Linked DNA regions of Lepisosteus oculatus. The protein of the gene in region 2 purifies or fractionates together with the protein of the main gene of each other region. This does not show direct contact. Links are inferred from orthologs where the notes say so. Each region holds a gene or a part of one and is shown on either strand. Other genes may lie near its edges.

Region 1 (8,167 bases), on a different chromosome or scaffold from region 2:
TTCGGTTTAGGTGCAAATGGAATTCTCCGCTGGTGGTCATCGGGTTCATCATCGCTGTCTTCCTCCTCTTCATCTTTTAACACTGGACTGCTCCCGTGTCTCGTGGCCAGAGGAATATAGTCCTGCCGTGCTCTAGCCAGCTTACGTTGCCTTCTTGCAGCCTCAATTTGTAGAGCATCAGGGATATCACCTGCGCTGATCAAAGTTTTACACCGTGTGTAAAAATAAACTACACCCAAAAGCCAGCAGCTAAAAGACTACATGCAAATTACAGAAACTTTAGAACACATTACACCTATTAAGTTCTTCATAAGCCGTTGATTTAGGAGATTCATCTTACTTGCTATATACATACAAGGTGTCAAAAGCCCCCACTGCAATCTCACATATGGATGTCTGAGAAAGGAGTTCAAGAAACCAACACTTTTTTGGTTTTTGGTTTTATGCCTCAGTATTTGTCTAGCCACAGTGCAGGTAGGCGAGTTAAGTTCAGTCTGGTCTGTAAACTTTTTTTTTTTACAAACTAGCTTCAGAAAGACGAAGCATTGAAATACACGCCTCTAAACCTCCATGGAATATTATCCTGGACACTTGTCGAAAACACTTTTCCGGAATGGAAATTTTAGATGACAACGATAGAGCAATACTGAAGACCAATTCATCACTTACTTTCTAAAAGATTATAAGAATGAGGAAAAAATGCTCAAAATTTCTGAGAAACCTCCAACAAACCTGGATCAGACACTGAAGAGCTGGAAGAACTAGATTTTTGGGAGCTTGTATCATCGTTGCTTCCATCCTGAATTTTTTCACCTTCGGGTTTATCGTCCCCACAGTCACTCTGTGAAACAGGACCCTTGGGGCCTATAAAACACAAGCAGGAACTGTCAAACTCACATCTTTTAATTTTGAAGAAGCAATCTTAACCCCCATTCCATTCCAAAAAAAACATTTACAGAACTAATGTTAAGTCAGTTACTTAGAAATAAAAACATTACTTGCGCAGGGGACCATATAATTCTCTGTTTTGCTCATTCTTGATGCCAGTTCTTTACCAATCAACTACAGAGCAATTAATCAATAGTGATTTCATTTTGCCTCAGTATAACATGCTCAGTAGTATGACTGTAACATAATTTCACCTATTTCCCCATCTTGCCTTTCGCTAATGTTAATAATAAAATGTGAAACTTAATTTTCAGTGAAGAGCTTTGCTTCTCTTGAGATGTTTTTTTCCCCCTAACTGAGTGAGGTTTGTTTAGTTTTGAATGCTCCAAGAGTATTCAGTCCAATTCAGAGTTTGTTTAAATGGCATTCAGCTGAGCTCATCTTATGGCCTGTTTTGAGTAGTGATTGTTTTTGCACTCGGTAAAGTGCAGTTTATATGGAGAACAGCATGAAAACCAAATGTCAATTGGGAAATAAATCAAACTGCAACAGAATAACAGAAAAATTCATTAAGACCACGCCAAAACTATTTTACACATACAAATATCTACTATATTTATGGTATATTTACTATTTGTTTCTCAGGGGTTGAAAGACAAAGGGTTGCAAAAGCTGCAAACAGTGCAGAGTCTATTTAAAAAAGATGAGCCAGATGAATTTCAAAATCAAAGACATAAAATAAGGCCACTGAACATAAAAAGGTTATTAACAGAAAAAGAGGCAGTTTGGCCTACATAGCCCACTGGGTGACTAGTAGCTAAGTGACCTGAGGATCTCATCCAGCCATTTCTTGAAAGAAGCCATGTTGAAGAAACCCGCTTCAACAACATGGCTGAGTAGTTTGTAACAGAATGCCAAACAAAACGCAATGAAACTCATTTCCAGTTAGAATGCACTAACTCTGGTCCAGCAACACCTCTTTGAACAGCAAACAGGTTTTTCTTGGAGGTCTCCCATTTCCAGGATTAACCAAGGCCAGACTACTCAAATCATGTTGGCTTCTAGACTTCTCCATTCAAGACTACGGAAAAAAAAATAATTTTGCATCTAACACAATGAACAAATTACTACACATTATTATTGCAGTGTAGTCACAAGCGAACCAATTCCCCCTAAAAATAAGGATGTTAACCAAGAAAACAAACCTCAGACCACTTTCACACAAACTCAGTTAAGGTATGTGAAGTGTGAATCTGCACATTGCCGGTGGTGGAGATGAGTTATCATTACCTGTAAAGTGTCTGGAAAAGCGCTATATAAAATGTAACAAATTATTTCTTTTTTACCACAGTTGAACTGTACCACCCCATAAAAAGTAGCAAACTTTGCTCGAATCCAAAGACCAGGTTTTCTATCACCCCAGATTTCTACAATGATGAACGTTTCAAGAAACGATGACATCATTTCAGGAAAATACACAGTGCCACCGAGCCCTGTTACGTCGAACAGCTAACATACACATCCGTTGTTATGAAACCATAAGAACGCAGTTGGCAATTTACCTTGTGAATTAAAAGCGGGAGGATTGATCTCTTTTGTTCGCGCTTTGAAAACGACGGCCTTGGCAACAGGCTTTTTAACCTTGAAGTCATCTTCGTCCACTGAAATGAAAATACACCAGCAGGTTAGGAAAAAAAAAAAACGTGCACATTAATTGAATGCAAAGAACAGAAACGAAAAACAACAAAACAATGTCAATAGCAGGCTTTTGATGACATTTTCTATAATGCAATTATAGATCAGAATGGAACATACGTTATATTTGAGTCCCTTTTTTGGCTGCATGGTTCAATAATGACTCCAGCACAGGTCTGAGCTCTAGGCATGATCAGCGATGACCCTCCCTACTGTGTCTTGGCTTAAACAGATATTCTTCGTTTCTGCTTCACCTGGGTTATGCTCGCGACACAGCGACAGCTCGCTAAAATATCAATTCTGTGAAGAGATCCCATGCATGTCATTTGCATCTGCAGAATCTACTGCAGGCTGTCTCCGTGCATGTACCACATCAGATTCACGCAGAAATATAAATACTGGGGCGTACCTTGTTTTTCATCACCGAAACTCAATAGAGTGATTTTATTTTTCGTCAGTTTCTTCTCAGCAGCGTCTTCCGCAGCCGTATCTTCGCTTACATTTTCTGTGTGCGGATTTTGTCCGGCGACTGAATCCGGCCTGGAGCTCCCGGACTCCCGCTTAGACGTGCAGGAAATCCCCCGGCTCTGCGGATACTTCAGTAACCGGGGAGCAACCGAGACCTTCACCTCGTCAGTGGCTTCTCCCTGCTCTTCTTGTGAAGGCTCATCTTCTCCGCTCGAATCTCCTTTCCTCCTCCTGAAGTTTCTCTTTGGTTTCTTACCGAACATATTCAGGTGGGAACTGCAATAATATCTCAACAGTGCGGATCGCAAATGATTATCTTATGTATTTTTTTTTTAAAAAAAGTACTAAGCCTTACAGCATCCCACGTGTATCTCGGTAGTGAAGTAAATGAAAGACTAAAGCACAATGAAACACATTTACATTTTTAAATGCTAAGCAAGTTAGCATAAACCAATTACTCCATCTTCATTTATGGGGGGAAAAAAGTACACTTACAACACTTCTTCCGATTTGCTTCAACAACATTTACGTTTGTACTTTCCGGTTCCCTGCTCTCCGGCTGCATCATGGGTAATGTAGTCCATAAACAATGCGTCGCTCTATTTCTTCCTTCAAGAACTCTGTGGAAATTAAAGTAAACTTGGCATTTTGAAAACCTTCAATAAAAATGTTAAAGAATTAGAACTTTTCATAGAAGAGCCTTTTTGAAAACTAAAGCAAACTATAATTAAAGGACAACGGTGCAGCCAGTTCTTGCTTGTTAAAGCCAAATAGAATTGCATAGCCACAGTTGGGCCCAGAAATCACAGTCCTTAAATATTCCCTCAGGCTGTGAGAGGCAACTTACTTTCTCTCTCCCTCCTACTTATTTAAGAGAAGTTAAGAGATACAGAGCTGTCAACCTATGAGTCAGTGCCAAAAAGAAAACCTCTGAGTTGTCCATGTAGCAGGTTCTCCTCTGTAACGTCTTGATTGTAGATTTCAAGCGTTCAATGACTCTAAGGCAGAGACAGACAAGTGTGCTAACTGAGTAGCAGAAGGGTGATATTCATTCTATTATGATGAGGACTTGGAGTCCTTGAATTTCTTTGGAATAAAACAGACCCAGACATCTTGGTCTTTCTTGGGCAACCAGGACAAAGGTTTTAGGTTTGGCACTTAGGTGCTGTACTTCTAACCTCATGAAGTGGGGACATTGGTCCCTATTCAACAGGCATAATGTTATCACCAAGATCCCCATGACATCCACTTTTCCTGTACATGCCTTGTCCCTGTCCTGGCTCAAGGAAAGTGAATTTTACATATGCATCAGAAACAGGCTTAAAGCACTGAATAATTAAAGTTCAGAGAAGCTGGACCTTGCTGTCTTCTCTTCCTATGGTGATTTCAATAGACATTTTAATCCAATATCCCGAATAAAATGGGCTGTAGAAGGATGCCTTAAGACTCAACAAATAGTACAGTTAATGCTCAAGGGTTCACAGTATGCCTTCTGTATATCAGGAGTCATAGGCTCTGACCTGTCACCCCACTTCACAGCAGAGCAATGGCAGCTCATTGTAGCACAGCTATTCTGTTCCAAGAACAATGGTGTCTCTTTCTGTTTTCATTCCAGCCTTTAACATGGTAAACCAGCTGTTTAGTTGTTCAAGTAGATTGATTTATTACCATAACCCTGCTCTTCAGGTGCTGCTGCTTTAAAGAGACCTTAAAAAACCTGCGGACGCACCAGGTCTCCAGGACCAGGAGAGCCCACCCCATGCTAGTACTGTATATATAGTGGATAAAAAAATATTAGGTTGAAATTGTATGATGTACACACTAATTTGTACATTTGTAAATGATCTAAAGTCTATTACATTGGCACTCCATTAATTACATCACCACAGTTTGAACAATCTTCCCCTTTCTATACTCTCTACTCTCAGTCCATTAACCAGTTCTTAATCCCAAAACTGAAGTTTCCCCAAATGCAACTAACTTTTAATTTGAGAATTTATTTTTATGGGAAACTTTTATCAAAAGCCTTTTGTACATCATAAAGTAAATCATACAGCCTGCTTTACTGTTGTTGCTTATTCAAGAACAAAGCGCTTAGGCAAATACTTTTTACCTTCTTTAACTTGGTTCAATTTTGTCGTCCTTTGTACTGCCAGGCACTGTATTCACTCTTTTTTGTCTTATTCTACTAGATATTATCATAAAGCAGTACATTTTAGTGTGTGTATAATCTCCACCAACTTGAGTTCCAATGCCTTGCAAAGTCAGATTTAGTAATTTCAGTACATTACAGTATATCATGCAGCCACATTTGAATGAATTTATTTTATCATCAAAAATCTGAGATGTGAATAAATATAATTTTAAAACTAAAAAGGAGTATCTGTTGTTTCAACCAATTTTATTTTTTGCACGGATAGCTTTTAAGGCGTAGTCCTGCAGGTATGCTGACAATGCATAGCTTTTTTGCTATTAAGACAGGCTGGGTGTGATGCGTACCTGAACAGTGAGAGGGCAGTATGTGCAAGGTTGCAAAAATGAGATTTCCCCTCCCATCCTGGGGTTGAATAGTAATCAGGCTCCGTGTTGTCAGCCATGTTGTTGGTGTAATACTACAGTGCTGCTTCTAGCAAGCAACAGGTACAAGACTGAAGCACGTTTTCTGGAAATAAACATTGAGTCTCACGTCTAATTACTTATTTTGACCGAGAACATTTGTTGATAATGGAGATTTTCCAGAGTCGGGATTAAACCAAATCCAAAATATTTTTGGTGTCCTTCCACGAAAAGTAAGTAAATTTAAGAATTATGAATACTTCATTATACATATACAATATGTATATAAATTATTTTACCAAGGAACATATTCTATGTATATATACATAAACATAGTTTGGTGCTGGAATTTTATCAGTAAGTAATGTAATTAAAGCTTTAAAATTGAAACTTGTCGGTTACATTGAAAGCGAGGATGTAAACAAGCACGAATACATAGGATTTTTTTAATCTAGTGTTATAAGAAACAGGATTACTTGATATATTGGGGTTTATGTTCTGAATCATTTATTGTGGTTGCAGCAGTAAAGAAATACATATTTGAAAATTTCCTTTTCACGACTCGCTTGGCAGGTTGTTGCGAATTTAAAGCAAGTGTCTTGCAGCAGTAGGCAAAGGAATGAAACTTCATTGCACTGGTTTCTCTGCTTTATATAAGGAATTTAATGAATTTCATGACTTTAAGAAATAATTTGAATAATGATTTTCAATTTTTAGAAACATTTACACACTGTTTTATTGCACTTCTGATGTATGGGTTGTTTTTCTTTTCTTTTTGGAGATTGAATTGTCTTTCATGTATTTTAAAATGTTAAGAAAAAGTGGTCTACATGTTTCGAACCACTTTTCTTAAGCATTTTTTTCGTGTTTAGAGCGTCAGTACAAGAACCCTCACAATTGTAACACGATGAATACTAGGAAATTAAACAATGATAAAGTAATTTGAGTCTAGTGAGTCACTTGAAGGGCATTTGTTCAATTAATGCAGGAATGTACTGTATATAGTGGCAAAATCGACCAGGTTCTTGCATTTTTTTAAAACGTTTTACAGTGAACAGTGAAAAGCAGTTTGATTATCTGGACGTTTTGTTACTTTGAAATCACTTGCTTTCTAACAGGAAACTTTTGATTCTTCCTGGCAAGCTGTGCGAGAAAAAAAAAATCAAAATGAAGACTCATTCGGTTTTTCATTAATGGATCCCATCCTCCCCCTTTTCCTTATTTGACTAAGAGAATCTCGGGTCAGAGATAAAAATAGAATATTCATGAATCTAGTTTGTTGTGTCCCTGCACGGATGACATTTAGATGCACCATACAGTCCTCTTCAATAAGGGGTGGGTGGAAAAGACTCTATTACTATTTCTAAACTATTACTAGTGCTATTAGAAACTGCTATTGGCTTTGTGTTGTTTAATGCAAAAGAGGCTGAAACTGGTTCGAATATTTTAACACTTCACAAGACAGGTGTGTTGTCTTGGGCAGCTGGGCAGCTGGGGACTAAAAAAATTCAGTCATGGCTGAATTTTTTTAACTTCTGAACTTATTACAGTAATTTATCATGCAACACACAATGTTTTAAGTTCCTTGTGTTCCCCTTTTTAGAAAGCCAGAATAAAACAGTGCCTTAAATTATGAGTCTTGTTAGGTTCCTGCATCCTGTTCGTCAGTTGTCAGTTAAAGCGGTCATATCCGATGTTACACGTGGTCAGACCAGGATGTGTATGTGAATATAACCAATCTCTTATTTCTTTGTATCTTCGAGTATTTGAACATATTGGGGAGTTTAATTCAATAATTATTTTGTTACAGGATAACAGTCCACTTTGTTAATACTTTCATAACCTCAAGCCACAAGATGAGAAGGAATTTGCTGTAGATCTAGGATGATATTTTTCCTTTTTCTGCACTGTAATCCCTTTTGGTGTCTCTTTAAACCATCTTCCTTATGAATACAGAACAGTTAGAGTTTGTCTGTTTTGTGTAGGAGTTGTGGCAGCCAGAGAGTGAAGGAGGATGTGTATTTTGACTGATGAATTGCAGTGCGTAAAGGGGTGGATTTATATGATATGAGCATAAGCAACATTACAAATCTAAGGATGCCATTTGGCCCATCTAGCTAGTTTGTTTGCTAGTAGCTAACTCGGGTATTTTATCTAGCCATTTTTTGAGCTATTGGGTTCAACAACATGGTCTCTGGTTTCCAGATTCCCACAACCCTTTGTGTAATATGTGCCTAACATTTTCATTTGTAAGTGCCTGTCTCCTTAGTTTGCACTTGTATCATGTAGTCAATGTTTCACTGATGGCTCTGGTATATTGGTTTGACTTTGTCTGCACCTCAGAGAATTTTAGTTTATGCTGGCTGGTGACTTTCACTGGTGCTACGTGTATATGTGAATATTGTTGCAAGCCTGATGTTGTCACACATGACTTTCAGTTCTGTGGATGACGAATCTTCCCTCATTTTAATCCAAAGGGTGAGATAAGCAAATGAATCATTCTGTTTGTGAACAAGGAGGCATTACTGCGCTGAGAATAAACTACAGAAACTGACAACAG
Region 2 (8,417 bases):
TATAACTGACATCATGCCAGACTTCTATGGCTATTCTGACCTTCAGTTCAAACACAGCATGCCTGGAGTGTGAAGCAGGGAATTTTTAACTTTCTTAATTATCTCCGACTCGGTGCACTGCTTCACTACTTCGATGAATGTGCCAAAACTATTTCTATCCAACTCAAAAATTACATTTTTTGTTTAGAAAAATGACATTGATTTCATTTATCACAGGAGAGCTTTATCCATGTACTAAATTCCTTCACAAACAAGAGTCCCTTTGATTGCACATTAACACTGTTTAATCATCCAGTGTACCTTTCAAAAAACGAATAACCTTCCCCCATTTCCCAGCATCAAAAGGGTGAAGCTTCTCAAATCCCATAAAGGTAATGTTGTAGTCTGGAGAGTACACAATAGGCAGGCACGTTGAAGGGACTTCGGTGTAAAGCTCGGTGCTGTGCGAGCTGAAAAGCATACAAAATGCAAAGGATTCCTTATGGTAAAATCAAGATAACAAACCACATCTCCAGTCCTAAACCTTGGCCAGGGGTCTCATATTCAATCCCTGGAAATCCTACCCTAGGAATTTCGACATGTCATCATTTGCAGGAAACGTTTATAACATTATTAATAAACACCTTAATAGCATTTTATAAATAGTTATAAAAAAGATTTCAAGTGTGACCACATTCTTTATACTATTTTTAAGGTAATATAGTGTATACCTTGTTTTTTCTTGCCTGCTTCCTTTTTGAGACATTTTTCATTCACATTTTCATTTTAACCTGAAAAACAAACGGGTGTTTACCAAAAAATGTACTCAATATAGTAGAATGCACAATACTCTTAATAACACATGAAATGTCCTTGGCTATGATTTTAGCTAGTGGTACCATATCATACCATGTTCTTTCCTGTAGTACATTGCTCTTTGTGATCAAATGCGAGAACATGTTTTGCATACTTTTAAACAATACTTGTACTTAATGATCAAGGATAATCAAGTCGTAACAAGGATTCCTACCTAAATTCCTGCGGTGCACAAGCTTGTAATAAAACCAGTTTGTTTCCATTTCTTTAAACTACATCTGGTTAGATTTTAATTCTTAACATAAAACCTCCAAAATTCAAATTCACTAGAGGTTAATATATATATATATTAAGAGTTTCTGGAACAATTAAAAAATTCAAAAGCAATCTATTCTGCATGCACTATAAAAACTTTCTCCAAAACCATCCCTGCCAATCAATAAACATATTGGAGATGAAAACATCACATTAATAAAGGAAGAGGTTCCAATTCTAAAATCCAAATGGCAGTGAATAAACAACACACTTCAGTGCAGGCAATCAATCAGAGCAATGCCGACTACGTGGCTGTTTCTTGTCTAAATTCACGATGGAGCTCCCAGGCTTTTTCCCCACTCACAGCTTGTGTATTGATTCATCTCTTCAAACCCTTGAAAATGATCAGATCTATAACTTATGCTAATTTAGGAAACGGCACAAAAGTTGAGGGGTTCTGAAGTCACACTGTCAAATCCAAACCATTTTTACAAGACTGTAAAATACCCCTCTGAATCCCACTCCATTAACAGAGGTTTTTTACACTTGGTGATTTTAACCCATACCAATAAAATACAGAAATGAATGATTTGCAAATATTCATATATTTTAAACATACCATCACATTACTTTAAAAAGCCAAAAGTTGTCATTCAAAATGACAATCACTGATCGGAACGTATTACTGAACATTTTATGTGTAATTTTACACAAGTAACAGCAAGCAGTAAGACAACTCAAGAGATTAGGCCTCATAAACCCAGTTTACTTCATAATGTTTATGCAGCAAATTCCGGAATGTTATGTTTTTGTGCATTTTTGAAGGACCGATCTTAAAAACATGCAATTGCAAATATCAGCCTTGACGTTGAATGTCCTATTTACAACATACTTCTCTTTTAAAATATTCAATATCTACAGCGGCTGGTTCCATAGAGACATACATACATTTGATGTGCACATGCTGTCTTTTCAAAAGTGTGACACACCACATTACTCAGCTTAACTTCGCATACAAATAAATACCTAAGAGCGAGCTTTTAATTTTGACAACTGTCAGACTATGACGAGAAACTCAGTACCACAAAAATTAACATCGCAAAATAAAAAAAGTGACATTGCATCAGCTAATAAAATAATTAAAAACCTGTTAGTGTATTTCACAGCTAACAGATTCATACAGAATTCAAATCTTTGTATTTACAGAATTATACTGAAAGCCTCAAAGTCTCCTCTACCCCTTCTTTGAATACAAAATGTTTGTTCATTGTTGTGAGAAGTATTACAGTGCTTCATAAGAAAAAGCTCACTGTCATCTGTTCCTCAGACACGCTCCATACTCTACATCTGCCCTATTTCTCTGACCTTGAGGAGAAAAAAATCAATTTCCATAATAGATTCATGATATTAAAATTTAATCTGCCTAGAGTTTTTAAGAAGACAAGCCAACATCAAGACTATGCTCATATACTTCATTCTATGAATCTGTTCAAGAGGAACGTGACCAACTATTCCATTCAAAATGCTTTCTGATACGATAGCAGTTGTGCAGAAAACATTTGGTTATGTGAAAGAGTGAGGAATTAAATGACAAGAATAGCATTAATGGTAAACTGCAGAACTTTATTTCAAAAGCAATCAACACCACAAGGTAGTAAAATGAAATGTACAATGTAAACAATCTGCAGTCTTAGGTTTTCACAGGTGTTGGGGTTTTAAAGAATTTTTGGCTGATACTGGTTAAATTTGTCAAGAAGTTTATTATTCCTAGTATTTTCACTCTGTGGCTGAAAATAAATCTGAGCGGTTGTGATTGTGTGCAAAAAATAGAAAAAGATGGTAATCTAGTTTAGGTGTCATTATAAAAGCAAAGGCATTTGCCCTATTCTTTCTACTCTTAACAAGCACCCTTACTCATATTTGCTTTTGTAAATATGCCATCCCTTTACTAAATATAAGAACATGGCGATCTATTAAACAGTTTACTGAGGCACTGAATCCACTCAAATCTCTAGTGGGGAAAAAATCAAATGGACTACAATACCCGGAGGGCTTTGCAATTCACACGCATGCGTATCAATCTAAATAAGAAAAGGGGCTTCTGCAAATATATTATTCGATTTATTCAATGTTATCGTGGTGTTCTGTATATTTATTAATTATTACAATTTTCCGTTAAAAGCTCTACACCACAAGCAAATGCCATACCTTATTGCATATTCGGCCTTCTCACCTGCTTCGTGTGCGAATACGAAACACAGTTCAACTCACCTGTCCACATTTTTTTCATTATTGGTGCTGAGTATAGCAAGTCGACTTAGTGTTGCCACACGCTATGTTAGCCCCCCGAAACAGGATTAACGTGCGTGGCCTATGTACATCGTTTAAATTAGCGTGTATCACTTAACCGAGGAATGATGCCCAACCAACTCCCTTTCACAAATTCATCAGTGTTGTGATGAGCTAGTACGCAGAACGCTCCTACGTCACCTGTGATCCTCCACAGGGAGCGGAAGAAACAAGGAACACTTCCAAGTGTTAAGTGCTGCCCGGTTGAATTTGTTGGCTTTTACGCAAAAACCGCACATACTCTTACCTGCAGCCGATTGATTTGTACAACGCGTATCCCTGCTCAGCACAGAGCATTGCAGCCGTTTTGTTTTTTTTTTCTACGCAGATATATTTCCAGGAGGTGTCCTGTGTTCCGTTGCTGTGTCATGTGCAATTGACATTGGTTTACATCAGCGGGTGTTATATGATTTTTAAATTACTAAAAATTAGTAACACAACCTGGGGTTTGTAAAGAGTTATATTTCAGGTAATGCAGTAATAAAGCTCATGCCACTGTAGTGTTTTTGTGTTCCATTACTTCAAAGGCAGAATGTCTTTTTTTGTCACGATCATATAGTTCTTGAATTATATAACGCCTGAGTACCGAGTCGCGTAATTTGTGCAAAGAGATCATTTATGATGATTCCGAATAAAACAGTAAGTGAAGTTTCTTATGCAATACAATAATTTATAAGCGAGATAAAGAGCAAGCGATTACATATTTGGTTGTTCATGATGCCTCTTGTAAATACTTATATTATTAATACCTGAATGTTCCCACACAGAATATAAAAACATTTAAATAGCTCTTCATCCAGCCTTTTCCCGAATGATCCCAAAAGTATCATCTTCACCAATAATTTATTCCAGACACCCACTACCCTATGTGCAATGTAGAGATTCCTATCCACGGGCAAAGTCCTTACTCTTAATTTGAAGTTAAAATTATTATTTTTTCACTAATGATGTTGGAGATGTTAATTGAAAAAATATATATTGTCAGGGGTGTTTTCAATACAACCTCTTTTGCTCAAGAGTAAGAACTGGAAAATTATGGTTTTTCAACCTGACTATAATACGCCTTTAATACCACCAATTAATGTAGTTGTGCTTTTCAGAGCTCTTTCCACACCAGCAATATCAGTTTTGTAACGTACCGATCACAATTGTACACAATATTCTAAATTACTTAATTTAATGTCCATAATTTAATCGTTACATCTTTGGACTTATATTTAGCAGTGGTCCTTAATAATTCGTTCAGTTCAGTTTTTGTCAGATGCACAAGTGCAATGATAGAAAGACATAAAGGAAACACCAAAAAACACAAACACAGAACAGCAGCAGCACCAACAAGTGAAATGCCCATACCACTTAAAAAAAAACAGTGTGAGCCAATGGTACTGTAGGGGTAGAGTTCAGTAATCTGGAGATTCGTGCCTTTATGCCCCTATAACGCTTACCAGAGGGGGGAGAAATGAGAACCCAGGATGGCGGGTTCCACTGATTGTGTAGAGAGGACAACGACAAGGCATAAAAAAATCCTTTTCACTGGCTGTTTCTTCAAGATCAGTATCTAACAGTCAGTATCTGTAGTATGTACCAGGTAAAACGTGCACGTTTTAGATCTAGATTGAAAATATCTAAACAAACGAATAAATAGAGCGAAATGCTTCCTACAGGCCGTGTATTCGACGTTTTTCAAAGGGCAGGCTATTTCTTTCTGAAGGAAACTTGCAACCTTAGAATAATTTTACACAAGACGCAACTCCATGGGTTAATCTGAAAACAATCCCCGAAGGTTCAATATCTACATTTATATCTAATTTTAACCGGGCTTGTCCAGTAATGGATTTTAGCGGAGAATTACGCACATTCCAACATACAGTCTTAAGCCTAATTATCTGTACAGGGTAACAGTATGGGAGACCTGCAGGGTCTTTAAAGACAATGTGACAGATTGTGGGGTGGGCAAAAAACGGAGAGCACAAACTAACATCTAAGGACAAGGAGAACTGGATTTAATTGGGTAGCTCCGGTGGAAACCAGATAGCGGCAAATTGCTTGGTGAACTTCACGGGGCTCTCGTCTTCCAAATTGAATTCAAAGGCGGATGTCGCGAATTCGACGGGTTCACTTCAGTCCCGTATTGGAATGGAAACAGTACACTGAACAGAACAGAAATGCGAAAATAATGTCATTAGTGCGCAAGGATCCAAAGCCTCCTGCGCCTTTAAGGCGCAGTTTCTTGTAACACGACCTTTCCTCCTCCCTCTTGCGTGTAAAACGACCGCCGTCTGCCGTCGTTCATGACGTTGCTCGAATAGCTGCGAATGGCGGGTGTTTCTTATGTTATATGTTTAAAAATTAATAATGCAGTTATTTAAAATACCTTTTTGTGTATGCAGTAGCGTCGGGTGGACATTTCTTTAGAAGATAGGAAGATAAATCTCGCTGCATTTCCTGTGTGTGGGTGCATGCACATTGAAACACCTGAAACGGACACCAACTGAGTCATGCAGTAGCTCTCCATGCTGTTTCTCTATATTGAAAGTTTGTAGCCTATTGAACTGGACTTGTATCTTTAAAAAGGGATTACGCGCTTGAAAGAACTTTGTGCGCTTAGCTCACCTTTTCTGTAATCGTGGAACATGTGCAGTATTTTGCACAGGACAGCACCATGAATTTAACATAAAGTATAGGGCAATGGCCTCGAACTAGATTTTGGAATTGGGTACTTTGATTTGTGGTTTTTTTTATAGTTTAGCTTTTAAACTTCTTTTTATGTATAAAGATCATATCGCGCCGCGTGGTCCGTTAACGTTGTGCTTTTATTTAAAGCAAAAAAGCACTTTAGAAAAAAAAAGGAAATGGCGAGTGCAACGGTACTTTCATTGATTGTGTTAATGGTTTTATTTTATGATCCGATATTTTGTTCGAGTGCCTCTAAATTGAATATCCCAAAGGTCTTGTTGCCTTTAGCCAGAAGCACCAAAATAAATTTTACCTTGGAAGCAACTGAAGGATGTTACAGATGGTAAGTTTGAATTTTTGAAAAGAAAATCGAAAATGAAGTCTAAAGCTGTTCTTTGGGGACAGGAAACACGTGGGACGTTACTGTATGAACCCAGGCAGAGACTGGTGTTCACTGCTATTTATGGTCAACAGCAAGTAATGTAAAGGTTTAAGACATTTTCTAGAAAAAGTACCCTGAAAAATGCCGGTTGAAATTAAATTAAGTCATATTCATTTCCAGGTGCGGTAATATTCTTGAATCAACTTTTTAATGGGCTTTTTTTGTGACAAGGTTTTATTTAAGTACCATAGGCGCCTTTCTTTGAGCTACAGACAATACAGATAAACCAAGGTCGAAAGCAGTCATTCAGTGTACACTCTAATTTAATGATAATATTTCCATTACTGCCCTCCCCTACTACTGCTCAGCTGTCTCTTTTGTCATATTTAGCTGTATAGACTTGCACTTATGAAACCATTAAGTTTTAATGTCATTCTGTTTACTGTAGTTTATTAATAGACTTGCAATATATATAAGGTGAGCACCACACCTCCACAGACTGCTGAGTGTTGTCCTTAACCTTTTAGTAAAAATTAGAGTGAAAAAATGTTGTCCTTCAGTTGTATTTGAATTGAGACAGTTTGTGTGGCAGAGTGAGGTTTTAAATGTATAAGCATCTGCGAGAGGCGCTTTTGTTGTTTCCTGGAGAGTATGCCTGTGCTGTATGGATATGCTCCAATTGATACAGAAGTTAATTAAATCCAAGCTGATAATGTTTCACAGCACATGTGGTGCAGCAAACCTGAATGAACCCAGGCTGACAACAGCGTGTTTGTCTGATAAAGTCTTCAAGACATTTTTTAAGGAGAACAGCACTGGTTTTAAACATTATGCCTGCAGCATTTATGAGCTACTGATGTCTTTTTTTTTTTGCTGCATTTTTAGCTACCTTATGACAGTCATATAATTTACAGCAACCTACTGTAGATCCTAAAATCATTTTTCCTTATTGGCAACACACAGATTAACTTCCATATTCTTACACTCTGCAAAGACCCAATTTATAAATTGAAATTGGCTAGCTGCACAGGGAAGACAGAGTTCCAGATTATGTCTGCAAATGACGTACATCTGGTAAAAGAAAAGGCTGAGGCAATTATGGAAATCATTCTAAGTCACAAATTTAATTTGTGGGACATAAAGCAGTTAATGTACCAAATTTACAGTCGATAAGTTTTTCAAGAAAGCACATTAGAGAAACCTTCTCTTTGGGGAAGAAAGGGATGAGTTTTGTTATTTCTTTGACGCAGACTGTATTAAAACCCAGAGGGTACATTAAGCAACAAAGAGCATTTTCAGGTTTCCTTTAAGATTTATTGGGATTCTTGCAGTTTCTGTCATTTGCATTACTAAAAGCACATTGTTCCTATACATTGATTTTCAAATTGACCCACAAATTTTGAACTTGATAGTTGTCATGTCTTAAGGTTGTAGTTTTAACAAAATGCCTTATGTGAACATTTGTATGAGCGCAGGCCATTTGGCCCAACTAGACCATTTGCTAGTTAGTAGCTAATTGCTGCACGGATATCTTCCAGCTTTTTTCCTTGAAAGAAGCCAGAATATTGTCTTCACTGTTGTGGATGGGTAGCTTGTTCCGTACTCCCACAATGCTTTGCATAAAGAAGTGCATCCTGTTCCGAGTTTTAAATGCATTTCCACAGAGTTTCGTCTTGCGTCCTCTGTTGTGTGTTTCACTTTTTTGGAGTAAGTTAATAATATTTCCTGCTTTTCCATTTTGAGTTCATCCTGTATATGCCCAAACATCAAGATGAACGTATTTTATAGGTCGACGAGTTTAGGTCATTTTGTCATATTTGGTGCATGTGGTTATATGGCAAACTCGAATTACTATTTTCAATAAATTTCTGATTACAATTGCAATTTTCTTGTAGTCTGTGCTGTATTTCACCATATGTCTTTATGCTTTGCTCTGCTTTTACCATTTAATCAGATATTT

The links.
Region 1: the proteins of hdac11 (region 2) and gcfc2 purify together in Homo sapiens (co-immunoprecipitation; 3 studies listed by BioGRID and IntAct, counting the BioPlex papers as one, with this or other methods). This does not show direct contact. The link is inferred for Lepisosteus oculatus from reciprocal best matches to the Homo sapiens genes HDAC11 and GCFC2.

Annotation. Positions count from the first base shown.
Region 1 is NC_090697.1:20,601,880-20,610,046, reverse strand, and holds the start of gcfc2 (intron Large complex component GCFC2), read right to left. Parts: upstream 3,619-8,167; 5' UTR 3,315-3,618; coding exon 2,993-3,314; intron 2,550-2,992; coding exon 2,451-2,549; intron 865-2,450; coding exon 733-864; intron 191-732; coding exon 1-190.
Region 2 is NC_090699.1:62,733,929-62,742,345, reverse strand, and holds the start of hdac11 (histone deacetylase 11), read right to left. Parts: upstream 3,807-8,417; 5' UTR 3,647-3,806; intron 3,509-3,646; exon of another isoform or gene 3,322-3,508; intron 774-3,321; exon of another isoform or gene 771-773; 5' UTR 746-770; coding exon 711-745; intron 450-710; coding exon 301-449; intron 1-300. Other genes in the region: nup210 (nuclear pore membrane glycoprotein 210), read left to right, coding at 6,252-6,418. UniProt on the Homo sapiens protein: Responsible for the deacetylation of lysine residues on the N-terminal part of the core histones (H2A, H2B, H3 and H4).